4 linked regions of the Macaca fascicularis genome follow. The protein of the gene in region 1 purifies or fractionates together with the protein of each later gene. This does not show direct contact. Links are inferred from orthologs where the notes say so. Each region holds a gene or a part of one and is shown in the gene's direction. Other genes may lie near its edges. The genes, in order: E2F6, YAF2, MGA and CBX3.

Region 1 (4,237 bases):
TTCAAAAAATAATAATACATTTTAAAAAATTAGCCGGGCATAGTGGCATGCACCAGTACTCTTAGCTACGTGGGAGTCTTAACTGGGAGACCACTTGAGACCAGGAGTTTGATGCTACAGTGAATTATGACCATGCCACTGCCCTCCAGCCTGGGTAATGGGGAAAAAAAAAAGATTAGAGACCTCTGACATCATAGTCTAGTGGGGAGCCAGCTTCTTCAGGGATTTCTCCCTGCCTCACCTCGCCCACCTCAGGCTGTGTAGAAACCCCCAGTCTAACCGGTTGTTTCCCTCCAACTCTGTACACACCACGGTGTGTTACCTTTTTGTTTCAAACATGTGCTGGCCTCTGTTCTAATCACAGCAACCTGTATCCATTAATCCATTTAATCCTCACAACAACCTTATCAGGTAAGTATTGTCATTATTCGCATTTTCCAAATAAGGAAACTGAGGCACAGGCAGATTAAGTAACTGGCTTAATAAGGTCTTCTGGTTTATAAGTAGGAGCCAGGATTTGAAAACACACCTCTGGCTCCAGCTTAATTAACATGCTCTGTTTACTTATCTGTCCCCACTGAAATTGGAGGTTGAACCTGTGGCATATCCAAATGAGTAAGTATCGCCTGTGCTCACCCCAATATCTGACACTATAGGTCCACGATAACTCATTCATCAAACAGGAAGGAGGGAGGAAGGAAGGAAGGAAGGAAGGCAGGAAGGAAGGAAGGCAGGAAGGAAGGAAAGAAGGCAGGCAGGCAGAAGTAAAACGATACCACAATGGTTTGGTTGCTCACATTTACTAAGCATCAACACTGACCCGCCTGTAAGATGTGCTAACAGAGCTCAGGAATAAATGAAGGCCGGGCGTGGTAGCTCATGCCTATAATCCCAGCACTTGGGAGGCCAAGGTGGGAGGATGGCTTGAGCCCCAGAGTTCAAGACCAGTCGGTGCAATATACTGAGACTCTGCCTCTACTAAAATTAAAATTAAAAATTAGCCGGGCGCAGTGGCGCGCGCCTGTAGTCCCAGCTACTTGGGAGGCTGAGGTGGGAGGATCGCTTGAGCCTAAGAATTCGAGGCTGCAGTGAGCCCTGACCACGCCACTGCACTCCAGCCTGGGCGACAAAAAAAAAAAAAATTAAAATTAAAAAAAGGAATAAATGAACATCTTTGCGGCTGAGAGCTTTCAGTTATCACCGTCGAGAATTCCAGGCGAGCGCTGCGTTTTCCCAGCTGCCTGTTTTCTCTCACCCCCGTTCCCTTCCTCTGGAATCCGGCTCCACCTCTTCCTTTTCCTTTGCCAGCCTCTCCGTGGATTCCGCGGTCCGGGTTTCCCGGGCGCCAGCCGCCGGGAGAGGATCGGTGCGTGGGAGCGCTCCGGCCGCGGCGGGCATGCGCAGAGGGGGGCGGTACACTGCGCATGCGGAAAAATGGCGGGCCGGGCTACTTGAGAGCCGCGGGTCTACCTCCTCCTTTCCCGTCTTCGTCGGGAGTTCCCGGGCACGTGAGGCAGTGCCGCGTTTGCTGGCGGGTGGGACGGCCTAGCCGGGCGGGGCCTTGGAGGACGCCGCGGATCCGTCAGTTTCTGGGCCCTTGGAAATCGGCGCGTGGGGGGCGGTGATCGAGCTGCGCGCGAGAGGGCGGGAGAGCTCGCGGGGTGCGAGGGGAGCGGGACGCCCGGCCGGGCAGCATGAGTCAGCAGCGGCCGGCGAGGAAGTTGCCCAGTCTCCTCCTGGACCCCGCGGAGGAGACGGTTCGCCGTCGGTGCCGAGACCCCATCAACGTGGAGGGACTGCTGGTAAGCTCCGGGACGGGAGGGGGACGGGCGGGGGTCTCCCAAAGCTGGCCCCCTCCTCCCCGCGCCGCCGCCAACCCCGCTGGCCGTCGTCTCGGTCGTCTGCTCCCCCTGGGCCAGGCGCTGCCCATCACGTGCTGCGAAACTGCGCTCTCCCGCCTTCTGCTTTCAGCATCTGTTCACAGACGTGGTGTCAGTCTTCTGGACTTTTACATCGGAACTTCAGGGCACTGTTGGAGAAAATTGCTCAACTTTGCATTGGAAAGGCCATGTTTTTCTCCTTCAGTGGACTCTAGCTGTATCTCTGCAACCTATCATTTGTTCTTCTACCTTCTCTCTCTTCTGCTCTACTGCAGCCGTTTAAAACCTTGTCCACGCTTTATATTTACCACGCCACAGCTCCCATTCATAAAATTATCTCCCCACCTGTTTGACGGAGAAAATGGTTAGGAGATTTGGCTCCCTTTCCCACAAAGACTGATTTCTTCTACTCTTGTTCTGGACCAGATACTGTATTCCCCGGTTCTCAAGGTCCTTAACAAATGCGTTCTTTTCCATTCCTCCCGTATTTTCTTTTTCTTTTTTTGAGATGGAGTTTTTACTCTTGTTCCCCAGGCTGGAGTGCAATGGCACGATCTCAGCTCACTGCAACCGCCGCCTCCCAGGTTCAAGCGATTCTTCTGCTTCAGCCTCCCATGTAGCTGGGATCACAGTCATGCGCCACCACACCCAGCTAATTTTGTATTTATAGTAGAGACGGGATTTCACCGTGTTGGCCAAGCTGGTCTCGAACTCCTGACGACCTCAGGTGATCCACCCGCCTCGGCCTCCCAAAGTGATGGGATTACAAGGCGTGAGCCACCGAGCCCGGCCTCTCCCCATATTTTCAATTTCTCTGCTGCTTTCTTCCTATAACTAGTAGTAATTAAACATTTTCCCAAGTCATTATGCCTGGTCCCCATACCAAATAGTTTGTGATTATTGTCTCATTTAATTTCTCACAGCAGTGTTTTATAATAGTAAAAGACTATTATTCTTGTTTTACGGTTGCCAAAACAGACCTGGAGATGCATGTAATGCCGGCTTGCCTGTGGCTAGATAGTAAGTGGAGAAACTTGGGTTGAACCTCCAAATGTCTAACTCCAGATGATAAATTCTTGACTACTAAAACCACATTCTCAATCCATCCCCATCTTAAAAGATCCCTCCCTTAATTCCATATCCCTTGCCATCTACTGTCTCTCTTCCCCTTCACAGCTAAACTTCTTGAAAAAGTTATTTACACTCACTCTTTCCACTTGATCGTCTCATTATCAGCCAACCCACTGCTGGGGACCCCTATCCTCAGCACACTTGTGAGACCATTCTAACCAGGGTCACCGACAATCTCGTCAATTCCAGCAGCTGTTGTAGTTTTGACACAAAACTACTTGTGTTGGAAACTCTCCCTTGAGTTTCCTTGACATTGATGTTCCATCTGCTTCTCTGGGCTCTCCTTGTCCTCATCCTCTTCCCAGTCCTTCATTTTTTTTTCCCCCGAGACAGGATCTCACTCTGTCACCCTGGCTGGAGTGCAGTGGCACATCCTGGCTCACTGCAGCCTTGACCTCCCAGGCTCAAGTGATTCTTCTGCCTCCACCTCTCTAGTAGCTGGGACCACAGGCACATGCCACAAGGCCTGGCTAATTTTTTTATTTTTAGATATGGAAGTCTTCCTGCGTGGCCCAGGCTGGTCTTGAACTCCTGGGCTCAAGCTGTCCTCTCACCTCAGTTTCCCAAAGTGCTGGGATTACAGGTGTGAGCCACCGTGGCTGGCCACATGTTGATGATATTCAGGGTTCTCTTCTGCTGTCTCTACACATTCTTCTTAGGGGAGTTCATTCTCTCCTCCCATGACTTATGTTACCGTCTACATTTGATCCTTGAACGACTCAGGGTTTGGGGCACCAAATCACATGAAATTCAAAATCTGAATATAACTTTGATTCCCCCAAAACTTTACTGTTTCCTGGAAGCCTTACTGATACTGTAAACAGTTGATTAACACATATTTTGTATTTACATGTATTAGTTAGTGTATTCTTATAATAAAGTAGCTAAAGAAAACGTTATTAAGAAAATCATAAATAAGAGAAAGTCCTACTCATTCAGGGGAATTAGATGATCGTAAAGGTCTTCATCCTTGTCTTCACACTGAGTAGGCTGATGAAGAGGAGTAAGAGGAGGAGTTGGTTTTGCTCTCTAAGTTGTGGCAGGGGGTAAAGAAAATTGGCATCTAAGTGGACCCACACAGTTCAAACCTGTGTTGTTTGAGGATCAGCTGTATATTGGTACCATCTGTATTGGTCGTCTTAATATTTGAGAATTTGATAAAAACTCTAAGCTCACTGTGGAAAAACCACTTAGTTTGCATGCAATATCAGCAGATACATCGCTTG
Region 2 (4,124 bases), on another chromosome or scaffold:
CTGTACCATTTCCTTTGTAGTTTAGCTATGAAATTATCATTTTACATGAATTCGGAATTGATGTAAACCTAGAAAGATGGACAGAAACAGCACTGTTAAAGAGGGATCTAGTTTATGCAGAAGTAACCCATGTGCATTGTCAGGAGGCAGCTTTTCTCATGGGAGAGGGATGCAGAGGTAGGGAAAATGTGTGAAGCCTTTAAATGCCAGGCTAAGGAGTGTGGGAGTCGTTAGTGGTTCTTGATCAGAGTGGTGGCATAATATTAACAGCATTTTATTATTCATCTGGTTGTGGACTACTGAATCGATTGGGGAGGTGGAAGTGGAGCTTCGGAGACCAGTTTGATGGCTGTTGCTGGAGTCTGGAGTATGAGGACCTTTATTTAGTATATTGAGGTAAAGAGACCTGGGAAGGTGTTCTTTTGTTAGCAGACAGCGTTGAGGGGACATGTAAACTCCTTATATTTAAAAAGGCCTTATGAGTATGTATTGGGTTTCTTTCAAAAGCAGCTACTGCAGAGGCCTGAGAGGCCAAAAGGGTGCCTTTGGAATTAGAGCAGAGTTAGACTCCTGGCTTTGTCATTTTCTAATTATGTAGCCCAGAGGAAGTCACCTAACCTCTCTTGAGTCTTGATTTCGATTCCTCTAAGTTAGGGGTGACAAGCCCTACTTGTTTGAGCATCTGTGTAGCGCTTTAAGGCATCTAGCAATGGCGCTGCGTGTTGGTTCCCGCCTTCCCCGTGGTGTCCTGCAGGCGGGGACTGAGTAGCTAAGGACGGCGGAGGCCAGGAAAGTCGTTCTACCTGGAGACCCCGGGCTGGCACTTCTGTCCAGACCTGGACAGGCCTCCGAATGCCAGACCTTGGACCAGGCTTCGCACGGGATGACTGAGCATCCCAAGCCAGTCGGTGGGACAGATATTTTCCTCCTCAGAGGGGCTCTGGAGCGCGCGGCAGCCCCTGGCAGCCGTGGGTACCGAGAGGGCGACAGGGCAACAGTGCGGTGAGGCGGCGCCGGCTCCCGAGGCCGAGGCGTCCACCTCCGCACCGCCCGCCGGCTAACTCGCCGCGGGTGCTGGGCCGCGCTGGCCGCGTTTGAAGTCTCCGGCGCGGCTGCTGGTTGGCGGGCGCGGGTCACGTGCGCCCAGGCAGGAGTTTCCCCGACAGCTGGAGGCTGCGTGGGATCCGGCGGCGGCTCCCGAGCGCGGCGGTGCGGCCTTCCCCGCCCCCTTCCTCCCTCCTCCCCCGCCCGCTTCCGCCCGGCTTATTATCCTCCTTATTGACAAACAGTGCGGCCGCGGCGGCGACTCTCAGCGTGCGTTGATAGCCAAGCCATGGGAGACAAGAAGAGCCCCACCAGGTAACAGCGCCCGGGCCCCGGGGCCCGGACTGTGCGGGCGGCAGGGCCCTGGTGCAGGGCTTCGGGTGGCTGCCTCGCTCGCCGCCCGGGCACCGGGGCGAGCACGGGGGCGGCGCCGCTGGTGTGCGAGTGCTGCCGCGTGAGGGGGCCGGCGCCGGCCGCCCCACAATGGAGCCGCGATGGCGGCGGCTACCGGAGCGGCAGCCCGGGTGTCAGAGCGGCTGTGGCGGCGGCGAGTGCGGCCGGGCTCGCGCCCTGCCTCTTCCTGACTTCCTTCCCCCTTGGAGCCGGAGCGCGGCGCGCCGAGGGCCCGCCGGGGGCCCGCCGGGCGGGGGTCGCGGAATTGGGGCGGGGGGCGGGGCGGGGGCGGCCGCAGGGCCCGGGCGCCGGGCGCGGCCTGCTGGTGACCCCGCGCCGCGTCGTGTCCGGGTTGTGTCCTGCAGGCCGAAGCGGCAGCCGAAGCCGTCCTCGGATGAGGGTTACTGGGACTGTAGCGTCTGCACCTTCCGGAACAGCGCCGAGGCCTTCAAGTGCATGATGTGCGATGTGCGGAAGGGCACCTCCACCCGGTGAGTCCCAGGCCTGCCCCGCGCGCCTCCGTCTGGCGGGGTGACGACCAGGGGACGCCCCTGCGGCTGCCGCCCCGTCCCATGACATTCGCGGACCCGGCGGGAGGAGGCGAGACGGAGGTGGCTGTGGCGATAGGAACTGGGTCACATTGATCGCAACCCAGGCGATGGTTTGCGGTGAGGGGTAATTGAAGAGGCTGTAAGGTTTTTTGCTGCCAAGAGAGAATAAATTATTTATGGGAGGCATTAGCTACTGCGATTTAATTCGTATCGCCGTGTGTAATGTCCCTCTCCCCACTCTGGGTATAAAAATGTTGGCTGCATTGTTGTGTTAGTGTGTAGGGATCAAGGAAAACCCATAAAATCCTCTTTAGGAGCAAAGGATGTAATTTAATTTCGTTCCTAAAAAAAGAAAACTATCTGATTGCAGAATACACAATATATTAAACTTCTTTTCTATATGGACTTCTGGAAGGGTCAGATCAAGGTTTTATTTAGTGTTTTTATTCCAGTTCTCTAATATTTTATAAATAAGTAGTTGGAGATGAGCCCAGTCACAGGAACAGATTTTTACTGAAAGTACCTGCATATCTTTAGTTTGATTAAATGGCAGTCTCTTAGACAAATGAGATGAAAAGATCTCTGCCCATTTTCAGACTTTATTTATTGTAAGCTTGCAGTATAATAACTCTGTTTTTTAAAAAACGACTTTGAATTAAGTGGATAAAGAAAATCATCCAGGAAATTCAGTCTGGCATTCTTAATCTGTCAGCACTTAGTTATCGAGCTCCTTGATTTTTATAGGAAGGTACCCTTTGAATTAAATATAATCCTGTGATTTATTACTTAATATGTAGAGAAGATATATATTTTGATGTTACAAAGTTCATTAGAGACTAAACTATAACAATAAGCATACTAATCTATCTTACTGTTGCTTTAAAAAAGGCATATATGATATTGACATATGCAAATATTCAGTAGACGTTAGATTTCTAAAAAATGTGATCTTGATTTTTTTTTAAAACACTACAGAATTTTATTAAGTTTGAAATGTAGAGACAGGAATGGTTGACAGTAACTTATTTGAAAATTTTCTCAGTGAAGCTCGCTGGCTTTGACATGCTTATTTTTTGTAAATATTATATGCTTTTTGTATATTCCCACAATGGATAAAATATTTTGTACATTTTTCATATTCAAAAAGAAAATTTTCAAACATATTCTAAATTTAAGGGATTACAGCAGAACATTCCAAAAAGAAAAAAGTATATACTAAAATGATTGTGGTTACTAATTTTGGACCCATTTATTCTCATTTACAGTGGATAAAATATTTTGAACATTTTTTATGCTCAGAAAGCCAACTTTTAGACATGCTAAATTTAAGGGATTACAACAGAACATTCCAAAAAGAAAAAAAGTATTTGCTAAAATGATTGTGGTTACTATTTTTGGACCCGTGTTTTGTGATTTAAGTATTTTGAAAAGCAGAGTATCTTAATGGCTGTGTAAGGTTGGAGTTGGTTTAGAGTGTATTTGTATATCCGTGTTAGTACTTTGTGCTTTTTAAAATGCTTAGTAAACAATATTTAGAAAATTCGTTTTTTGGAGGCAGGAACATTAAAGTGGAGACAATTATTATAATCTTGATCTCTGGTACTATATATTATTGCTTTTTGTTGTTCCCTCTCTATTTTCTTGTAGCCATTAGAAAAATACTGAAACTAGAAGAGCCTATATGTTTATTTGCAGGGACAGCAAGGAAGGGGGGAAGCTGGTGTCCTACTCCACAGCCAGTCTTGGGATTAGAGGAACCCTGAGAAATAGAGTAGGTGGTGGCAGCTCAGAAGAGAAGAAACAGGCTGAATACCTGGCACCTGGAAGAAGAAGGAATATAGTACACAGGGGAGTTGGCCCAGGACAGAGAAGTGGGCCTAGTTTAAAAGAGGCTTGAGGCCCACCTGGGGGCCCCTGACTTTTTTTTTGTTTTTAACCGGTACATCCGAGCTCTTGTAGATCCAATTTTTAGTGGTGGAAACATTACTTGAGGAGGACTCAGAGAAGCATTGTCATTTGGATTGAAACTGAAGAGGCTCTGGGCAACTCACCAGAAATCTAAGGGACACTGTGTTCCTGAAAGTAAGTGTTCTACACTACGACCCTCTCAGCTTCTTCCTTCCTCTCTCTGAATTG
Region 3 (3,561 bases), on another chromosome or scaffold:
GACGTGTGGCATAATTTACAACTCTTCTGAACATTTTGCGCTTGATATATCTTGTAGATATTTTTTGCATGCATTCATTAAGCTTATACATTCTCTTTTATGACTGTTATCATTCTACTCTGTGGATGTGCCATCATTTGTTTTACCACTTTAAGGACTTCTCTCTTCCTGTCTAGTCTTTTGCTGTTATAAATGGGGATAATCTTGTATAGATATCATTTATCGTAGGTGTGTGTATTTAAAAGTCATATAGTGGGTTTTATCAGTGAATTAAAAAAACTTAAAGTCCTGGAAAAACTTCTTTGTTGTAGGATGATATATGGATTTGTACTTTCGATATTTTCAAGTTGCCCTTTCTCATAGAGATTCTGTTATTTTATACTCCCAGTAACTAGTTAGGGGAGAATGCTGGTTGACCTATACCCTTTCCAACACTACCAGGCTTTGATTTTTGCCAGTCTGATAAGTAAAAAAACAATCTCAAGGCCGGGCGCGGTGGCTCAAGCCTGTAATCCCAGCACTTTGGGAGGCCGAGACGGGCGGATCACGAGGTCGGGAAATCAAGACCATCCTGGCTAACACGGTGAAACCCCGTCTCTACTAAAAAAATTACAAAAAAAGTAGCCAGGCGAGGTGGCTGGCGCCTGTAGTCCCAGCTACTCGGGAGGCTGAGGCAGGAGAATGGCGTGAACCCGGGAGGCGGAGCTTGCAGTGAGCTGAGATCCGGCCACTGCACTCCAGCCTGGGCGACAGAGCAAGACTCCATCTCAAAAAAAAACAATCTCAAGATGATTTTAATTTCCTTTCCTCTTCACTATATACATATTCATAGCCATTTGCGTTTATTATCCTTTACTTATTTTTCTGTTAGGTATTTGGTCTTGTTGATTTGTAGGAAGCCTATAAAATTATTATTACTGTTAATGTATTTTTATTTTATTTTTTTGAGTCAGAGTCTTGCTCTGTCACCCAGGCTGAAGTGCAGTGGTGCCGTCTTGGCTCACTGTGACTCCACCTCCTGGGTTCAAGCGATTCTCTTGCCTTAGCCTCCTAAGTAGCTGGGATTATAGGCGCACACCACCATGTCCAGCTAATTTTTTTATGTTTAGTAGAGATGGGGTTTCACCATGTTGGCCAGGCTTGTCTTGAACTCCTGACCTCAAGTGATCTGACCTCCTTGGTCTCCCAGAGTGCTTGGATTACAGGCGTGAGCCACTGCTCCCGGCCACTATTATTTTTTAATAGAGACAGGCTTTCACTATGTTGGACAGGCTGGTCTGGGACTCCTGACTTCAAGCGATCCTCCTGCCTTGGCCTCCCAAAGTGCTGGGATTATAGGTGGCAGTCACCACGTCTAGTCTCCTTTTTATATTAGGGAAATGAGTTCTTTATAAGTTGCACATACCTTTTCCTAGTTAGTTGTTTGCTTTTTGATTTTGCTTAAATGATTTTGCCAGATTAAAAAATTTACAGAATATTACATTTTATTTTATTTTTATTTCTTTGAGACAGTCTTTCCCTGTCATCCACGCTGGAGTGCAGTGGCGTGATCTTGGCTCAGTGCACCTTCTGCCTCCTGGGTTCAAGTGATTCTCGTGCCTCAGCCTCCTGAGTAGCTGGGACTACAGGCATGCACCACCACACCCGGCTAATTTTTTAGTTTTTAATAGAGATGGGGTTTTGCCGTGTTGGCCAGGCTGGTCTCGAATTCCTGGCCTGAAATGATCCACCGGCCTTGGCCTCTCAAAGTGCTGGGATTGCAGGTGTGAGCCACTGCACCTGGCCTTATATAATATTAAATTTATCAACTTGTTTTTTTTTTTCCTGCTTTACTGGTTTTAGGTTTTGTGTCTCATAAAAAAACTTTTCTCAGGATTTAGGAATAAAAAAATTAAATATTAGGTTCATCTGGAATTTTTTTCAGTGTAAGGTCCATTGAGTTCCAGTGATTTGTCATGGCTTCTTTAAATGTGTGTAATAAGAAGTTAAGATAGCTTTTTACTTACTTATGGAACCATGTCTTCTGAACCATGTGAAGAACTAATTCTGTACAATTAGCTCTTTGGAATGAAAATGGAAATTTACTTATTTAATTTACTCATCACAGGGGAACTTGCTATATAAAGGAATCTTCTGGCAAATTAATTCATAAAGTGTTAGGATGCTTTAAAAATGCATAGCCTTCAAATTTAACTTTTTAATTTTGTATACTTTTATTTTTTTAAATAATGAATATATACTTTTGTTTCTTTGTGTGAGATTATAGTATTTATAGTGAATTGTTAGAGGATTAGGATATGAGCGACTTAATTAATTAGATTAAAATGAACTTTAAAAAATGATTAGATATTCCAGAATAAATATTCTTACTGTGATTGAAAGAAAAGCTTAGAAGCAAAGTCTTACAAGAATTTAGGAATATTTTGGGGATGACATCATTCTTGTATTTTTGTTCAAGAAATAAATACTCACTTGATTAAAGGGTGTTTTTTGTTTTTGGTTTTTTTGCTTGTTTCTTAGGATGGGAAGGCCATTGTGACTATGTGGTGATTACAGTTGTCTTACTACTGAGTTTCCTACTGAAATCATGGAGGAGAAACAGCAGATTATATTGGCTAATCAAGATGGTGGAACAGTGGCAGGAGCAGCACCTACCTTCTTTGTCATCTTAAAGCAGCCAGGAAATGGCAAAACTGATCAAGGAATTTTGGTTACTAATCAGGATGCCTGTGCTTTGGCTAGTAGTGTGTCATCACCAGTAAAATCTAAAGGGAAGATTTGCCTTCCAGCTGATTGTACTGTGGGTGGAATCACTGTTACCCTCGATAACAATAGTATGTGGAATGAGTTCTATCATCGAAGCACAGAAATGATTCTGACCAAGCAAGGAAGACGCATGTTTCCTTATTGTCGTTATTGGATAACAGGTTTAGATTCAAATTTGAAGTATATTCTTGTCATGGATATATCTCCTGTGGATAACCATCGTTATAAGTGGAATGGTCGTTGGTGGGAACCCAGTGGGAAGGCTGAACCTCATGTTTTGGGGAGGGTTTTTATTCATCCAGAATCTCCTTCCACAGGTCATTATTGGATGCATCAACCAGTATCTTTCTATAAACTCAAACTTACCAACAATACACTGGACCAAGAAGGGCATATCATCTTGCACTCTATGCATCGTTACCTGCCAAGGCTTCATTTGGTGCCTGCAGAAAAGGCTGTGGAGGTGATACAATTAAATGGCCCTGGTGTCCACACTTTTACCTTCCCACAGACTGAATTCTTTGCAGTCACAGCTTATCAGAACATTCAGATTACTCAGCTGAAAATAGATTACAATCCATTTGCCAAAGGCTTTCGGGATGATGGGCTGAATAGTAAGCCCCAAAGAGATGGAAAACAAAAGAACAGCTCTGACCAAGAAGGGAATAATATTTCCAGTTCTTCTGGTCATCGGGTCCGTCTTACAGAAGGTCAGGGGTCAGAGATACAACCAGGTGATTTGGATCCTTTGTCGAGGGGTCATGAAACATCAGGCAAGGGTTTGGAGAAGACTTC
Region 4 (4,001 bases), on another chromosome or scaffold:
CCCCACTTTCACTCCAGCGGGGCAGCGTCCGCCATGTGAAAGCTCCCCATCCCCCACCCCCAGTGAAGGGAAATGGCGCCGGGAGGCCGAGGGTGGGGAAGCTTGTTTGTACGCTCAGGCCTCCGGTCAAGACCCCGTTCATAAACCTCAAGCCCCACTGCTACTGAAGCGGTCCGATTTCCTGCCGCTCTCCCACGGAGGCGGCCGGCCGACTTCCACAAGGGGGCCAACGGCCTCGCCATGCCCTTTCCAATAACTCATTGATTTCAAACCCGTTACCTCCATCGCGGACTCAGTCGCTTCAGCCCGATTTCCCGCAGCCGAGCGAGATGAGAGAGATCTCCGCGGACGAACACGAACCGGACTCGTCCTGGCGCTGTAGTGAGAACTGCCTCTCCTCGAGAAACAACACCGCTAGGAGTACCTCCGCACGGGACCCGGCGCTGCTGCTACTGCCGCTAGAGCCGCTGCCGCCGCTTTTCTAGAACCTTCCCCCCCACTAACGCGTCTTCCTCTACGTCAGGCCGTTGCGTAAACGCCCTAACCGCCGCCAATGGCGGGAAGGCTCTACGCCCCTCCTTACGCCAAATGCGTACTCCTCCCCCTCCTGTGGCCAGCGACAGTGCCCGACGTTACTTCCGTAAATGCGCTCAGTGAATTGCGGAAGGCTCGAGTCCCGCGAGTTACTACCTCTCGGAATAGGGTCCCGCCCCCGGCCTTGGCGCAAGGCAGGTGAGAAACGGTCGCGCAGTTTGAAATTAACGCCGACGGGAGGAGCTTAATCCGGAGCCCGGAGTTCCAGCCCTCTCAACCTGGGAGGTGGTCCCTGCAGCTACGCCTTTGATAACCCCCGCCAGAAAAATCGTAGTATAATATGAGCCTTCCCTTTTCGTTTTTCGTGTCCCAACTCGGCGGATTGACTCGGCCCCTTCCGGAAACACCCGAATCAACTTCTAGTCAAATTATCGTTCACGCCACACTGACCTAACCCTGACCCGCGTCTATGCAGCTGACCCCTGGGGTACAGGAGGGGTCTCTGCTGAAAGTGGTCCCAAAGGGGTACTAGTTTTTAAGCTCCCAACTCTCTCTCCCCAAGCGTTTGGAGGATTCCGCACCCTCGCACCGCAGGGGCGAGGAAGTGGGCGGAGTCCGGTTTTGGCGCCAGCACTGAGGCTGCAAAGCAGAAAAGCCACCGCTGAGGAGACTCCGGTTACCGTCCTCGCCCCTCCTCCCCCCTCCCTCCCCTTGGGGACCACCAGGCGCCACGGGGCGAACGGTAAGTGCCGCGGTCTTCGCAGCCGCCCTCCCCCTAGGGCCCCAATTCCCAGCGGGTGCGGCGCGCGGCCCCTCCCCCCCGCCGGGCGCGCGCCCGCTGCCCCGCCCTTCGTGGCCGCCCGGCGTGGGCGGTGCCACCCCTCCCCCCCCCGGCGGCCCCGCGCACAGCTCCCGGCTCCCTCACCCCTCGGATGTGGCTCGAGCTGTAGGCGCGCAAGGCCGGAGACGCTGCAGACCCGCGACCCGGAGCAGCTCAGAGGCGGTGAAGTCGGTGGTTTTCCTTCTCTCTAGCCCTCGCTCGGTGGTGGTGCATCAGATGCTGCACGCGCCCCGGGGGCCCGCTTCTCCGCTCCCCTCCCTTCCTTGCCGGACACCGCGCCGGGAGCTGCGGGAAGGAGTGGAGAGGGTCGGGCGGTGGCCTCGCGGCTGACCTGGCTCGGGGCCGGCGCCGGCAGTTAGTGGGGGGACTGTTCGGTCCTCGAGGGGGTAGGGAGCTGTGGCGACGGTCGCCCTATTTCGAGACAAAGCGCATTTTCCCTCCCCTCCCCCACCAGCGTTCCGGCGGAGGCGCCCCCTCCCCCAGCCGCCACGCGGGGCTGGGTCGAGACTTGGGCCTCCGGGAGGGCGGCGCGTGGTCCCGTGTCCGCGAGGCCTGGCGGCGCGCGGCCGACTGTCCCGAGGTTGCGGCGGCCGTCCCGTTAACGTGGCCGCCGCGGGGGGTAGGCGCGTGCCGTGTGGCGCAGTGCCCTTGAGCCCCCGCGCCGCGGCCTTTGTTTCTCCCTGCGGATGCGCTGACCACGAGGCCCGCGCTCCCGGGTGGGGGCGGGCAGCTGCGCTTAGGCCTCGGGACGCAGAGCTCCAGCGGAGAGGGTCGGAGGCGGAGGGGGAGCGGGTGTGTGCAAAAGGTGATTGCGTCTTCAAAGTGTCACGAAACGGGGTTGAAGCATCGTTAAGTTTTTTCCTTTAGTTAGTTAACTGCTGATTGGAAAAAGAGAGGGTTTCTGAGCAGAAACAAACTTAGGATTGCAGAACAGAGAAGATTCACAGGGGTTTACAGTTGTGAGTTGTTTGGGTAATCGTGCATGGTTTTAAACCGAAAGGATTGTCCTTTAAAAATGGAACATGGACTTGATTACAAATGGGATTTAGATTAGAAAAGATATTTGTCCCCTATGTTAAGCCATGTGAAGCTGCCTTAGGTACCAAGATCCCCAGTAAAGTCTTTCTAGACTCACATGTTTAGAACACGTACTTACGTGCATCATAAGCAATGTAGGTAGGAGCGCAAATCTACTCTGGATTTGTATCAACGTTTGAAATGTGCGCTCCCTACTTGGGGGTTGGAATCCAAACAGAACTTGTATTTAGTTACCTTTTTTGTGTCGTGCAAACTTCTCTTAACTGTCATGCATTTTTCTAGTAATAGTTCTTCAAGTCTGCAATAAAAAATGGCCTCCAATAAAACTACATTGGTAAGTTAATGAAAAGCTAAAGTATGTAAGGATTTAACCCAAGGTTTTTTCCCCCAAAGTATAACTTTGCATCTTTGTGGTTGAGAAATTTACATCGACATATTTCCCAGCTCTCCCAGTATAATTATAGGGGAAAATTAGGAGCAAAACGAATTCATTACATGGAGATACTTGCTGACTTGACTTAATAGCGTCTTAACTAGTTTAATCTTTGAAGGACAGTGCAATGTGGATTTTGCTGAGGATTTTTATCTTCAGATAGAAATACCCACGTTTTTGCAAAATATTACATAAAATAATAAAGCCCTTGTTGGTTGGCATAATTTTCCTTAAATCCCCAGAATTCTGGAGAAGTATTTTCATTAAAGCCAAATTTGAAGAACCAGGTACCTTGTGCACCTAGGTTGGAGCAAGTTAGTGAATCTTTCAAATGGCTTTGGTCACTTTATCTTGTTTTAACTTACTCTGAAATATAGAAGAATCTTGAATACAATTCATTGCGGTGTTTTGTTTTTTTTAAAAAAAATGATCGAAATAGCAAATACGATCCAGAAGGGAGAAAAGGCTAGATTTTTTGTATCTTCTTCAGCTATGTCATGTTACAAGTTTTTTAAAACCTTGGAATATTCACATAAAAATCATGAAATTCAAAGTTACAGTTTTCACAATATTTAACTCTCAACATATTGCATTAATCTTAAGCGCGTAAAGGTGAATGTTAATGTCTCCTAGGTAAAGTAAAGCATTTGTTTTTGGTCTGTATATGTTCTCTCTGGGTTTCACACTAGAAAGGGCACGTTGGTGATTTTTAATTTGTGCCATCATTAGATTCTATGTTAAGTCAGATACCCTGGAAAACAGAATTTGTTTTTGCATGCAATTGATACTCTTTGGGGTCTGTTATTTATTGGTATTTAAATAGTTTATTTTGTGAGGGATCACAGGTTGGCCACTTTAAAACTTTTTTTAACTTTTCATTTTAAAAATTCATTAGTGTTGTGAGATATATGTACTGTTAATTTCACTTAAATAATGGGAAATTTATTTTGACTCAAATCCACATTTGGAAAAAAGTACTGGGTTAAGCCAAACATATACTACAAAAGAAAATGGTGAGCATTTGAAACTAGCTTATGAATGCCATAGTAGTAAATACTGTATGGTATTTTGTCTGCCCCTTTTTTTTTTCTTTTTTTTAACCTTAGTATGTATCCTTTTCATTTTCTATACTTATTTTTTACTTCTTTATTTTGT

Evidence for each region.
Region 2: the proteins of E2F6 (region 1) and YAF2 purify together in Homo sapiens (affinity purification with mass spectrometry; 4 studies listed by BioGRID and IntAct, counting the BioPlex papers as one, with this or other methods). This does not show direct contact. The link is inferred for Macaca fascicularis from reciprocal best matches to the Homo sapiens genes E2F6 and YAF2.
Region 3: the proteins of E2F6 (region 1) and MGA purify together in Homo sapiens (affinity purification with mass spectrometry; 3 studies listed by BioGRID and IntAct, counting the BioPlex papers as one, with this or other methods). This does not show direct contact. The link is inferred for Macaca fascicularis from reciprocal best matches to the Homo sapiens genes E2F6 and MGA.
Region 4: the proteins of E2F6 (region 1) and CBX3 purify together in Homo sapiens (affinity purification with mass spectrometry; 4 studies listed by BioGRID and IntAct, with this or other methods). This does not show direct contact. The link is inferred for Macaca fascicularis from reciprocal best matches to the Homo sapiens genes E2F6 and CBX3.

What each region holds. Positions count from the first base shown.
Region 1 is NC_088387.1:110,642,940-110,647,176, forward strand, and holds the start of E2F6 (transcription factor E2F6), read left to right. Parts: upstream 1-1,415; 5' UTR 1,416-1,694; coding exon 1,695-1,802; intron 1,803-4,237. UniProt on the Homo sapiens protein: Inhibitor of E2F-dependent transcription. Binds DNA cooperatively with DP proteins through the E2 recognition site, 5'-TTTC[CG]CGC-3'. Has a preference for the 5'-TTTCCCGC-3' E2F recognition site.
Region 2 is NC_088385.1:48,808,564-48,812,687, reverse strand, and holds the start of YAF2 (YY1-associated factor 2), read left to right. Parts: upstream 1-1,268; 5' UTR 1,269-1,333; coding exon 1,334-1,359; intron 1,360-1,802; coding exon 1,803-1,928; intron 1,929-3,683; coding exon of another isoform or gene 3,684-3,885; exon of another isoform or gene 3,886-4,075; intron 4,076-4,124. UniProt on the Homo sapiens protein: Binds to MYC and inhibits MYC-mediated transactivation. Also binds to MYCN and enhances MYCN-dependent transcriptional activation. Increases calpain 2-mediated proteolysis of YY1 in vitro.
Region 3 is NC_088381.1:18,265,311-18,268,871, forward strand, and holds part of MGA (MAX gene-associated protein), read left to right. Parts: intron 1-2,520; 5' UTR 2,521-2,587; coding exon 2,588-3,561. UniProt on the Homo sapiens protein: Functions as a dual-specificity transcription factor, regulating the expression of both MAX-network and T-box family target genes. Functions as a repressor or an activator.
Region 4 is NC_088377.1:104,102,893-104,106,893, reverse strand, and holds the start of CBX3 (chromobox protein homolog 3), read left to right. Parts: upstream 1-1,151; 5' UTR 1,152-1,276; intron 1,277-1,464; exon of another isoform or gene 1,465-2,180; intron 2,181-2,695; 5' UTR 2,696-2,723; coding exon 2,724-2,747; intron 2,748-4,001. Other genes in the region: HNRNPA2B1 (heterogeneous nuclear ribonucleoproteins A2/B1), read right to left, coding at 280-285.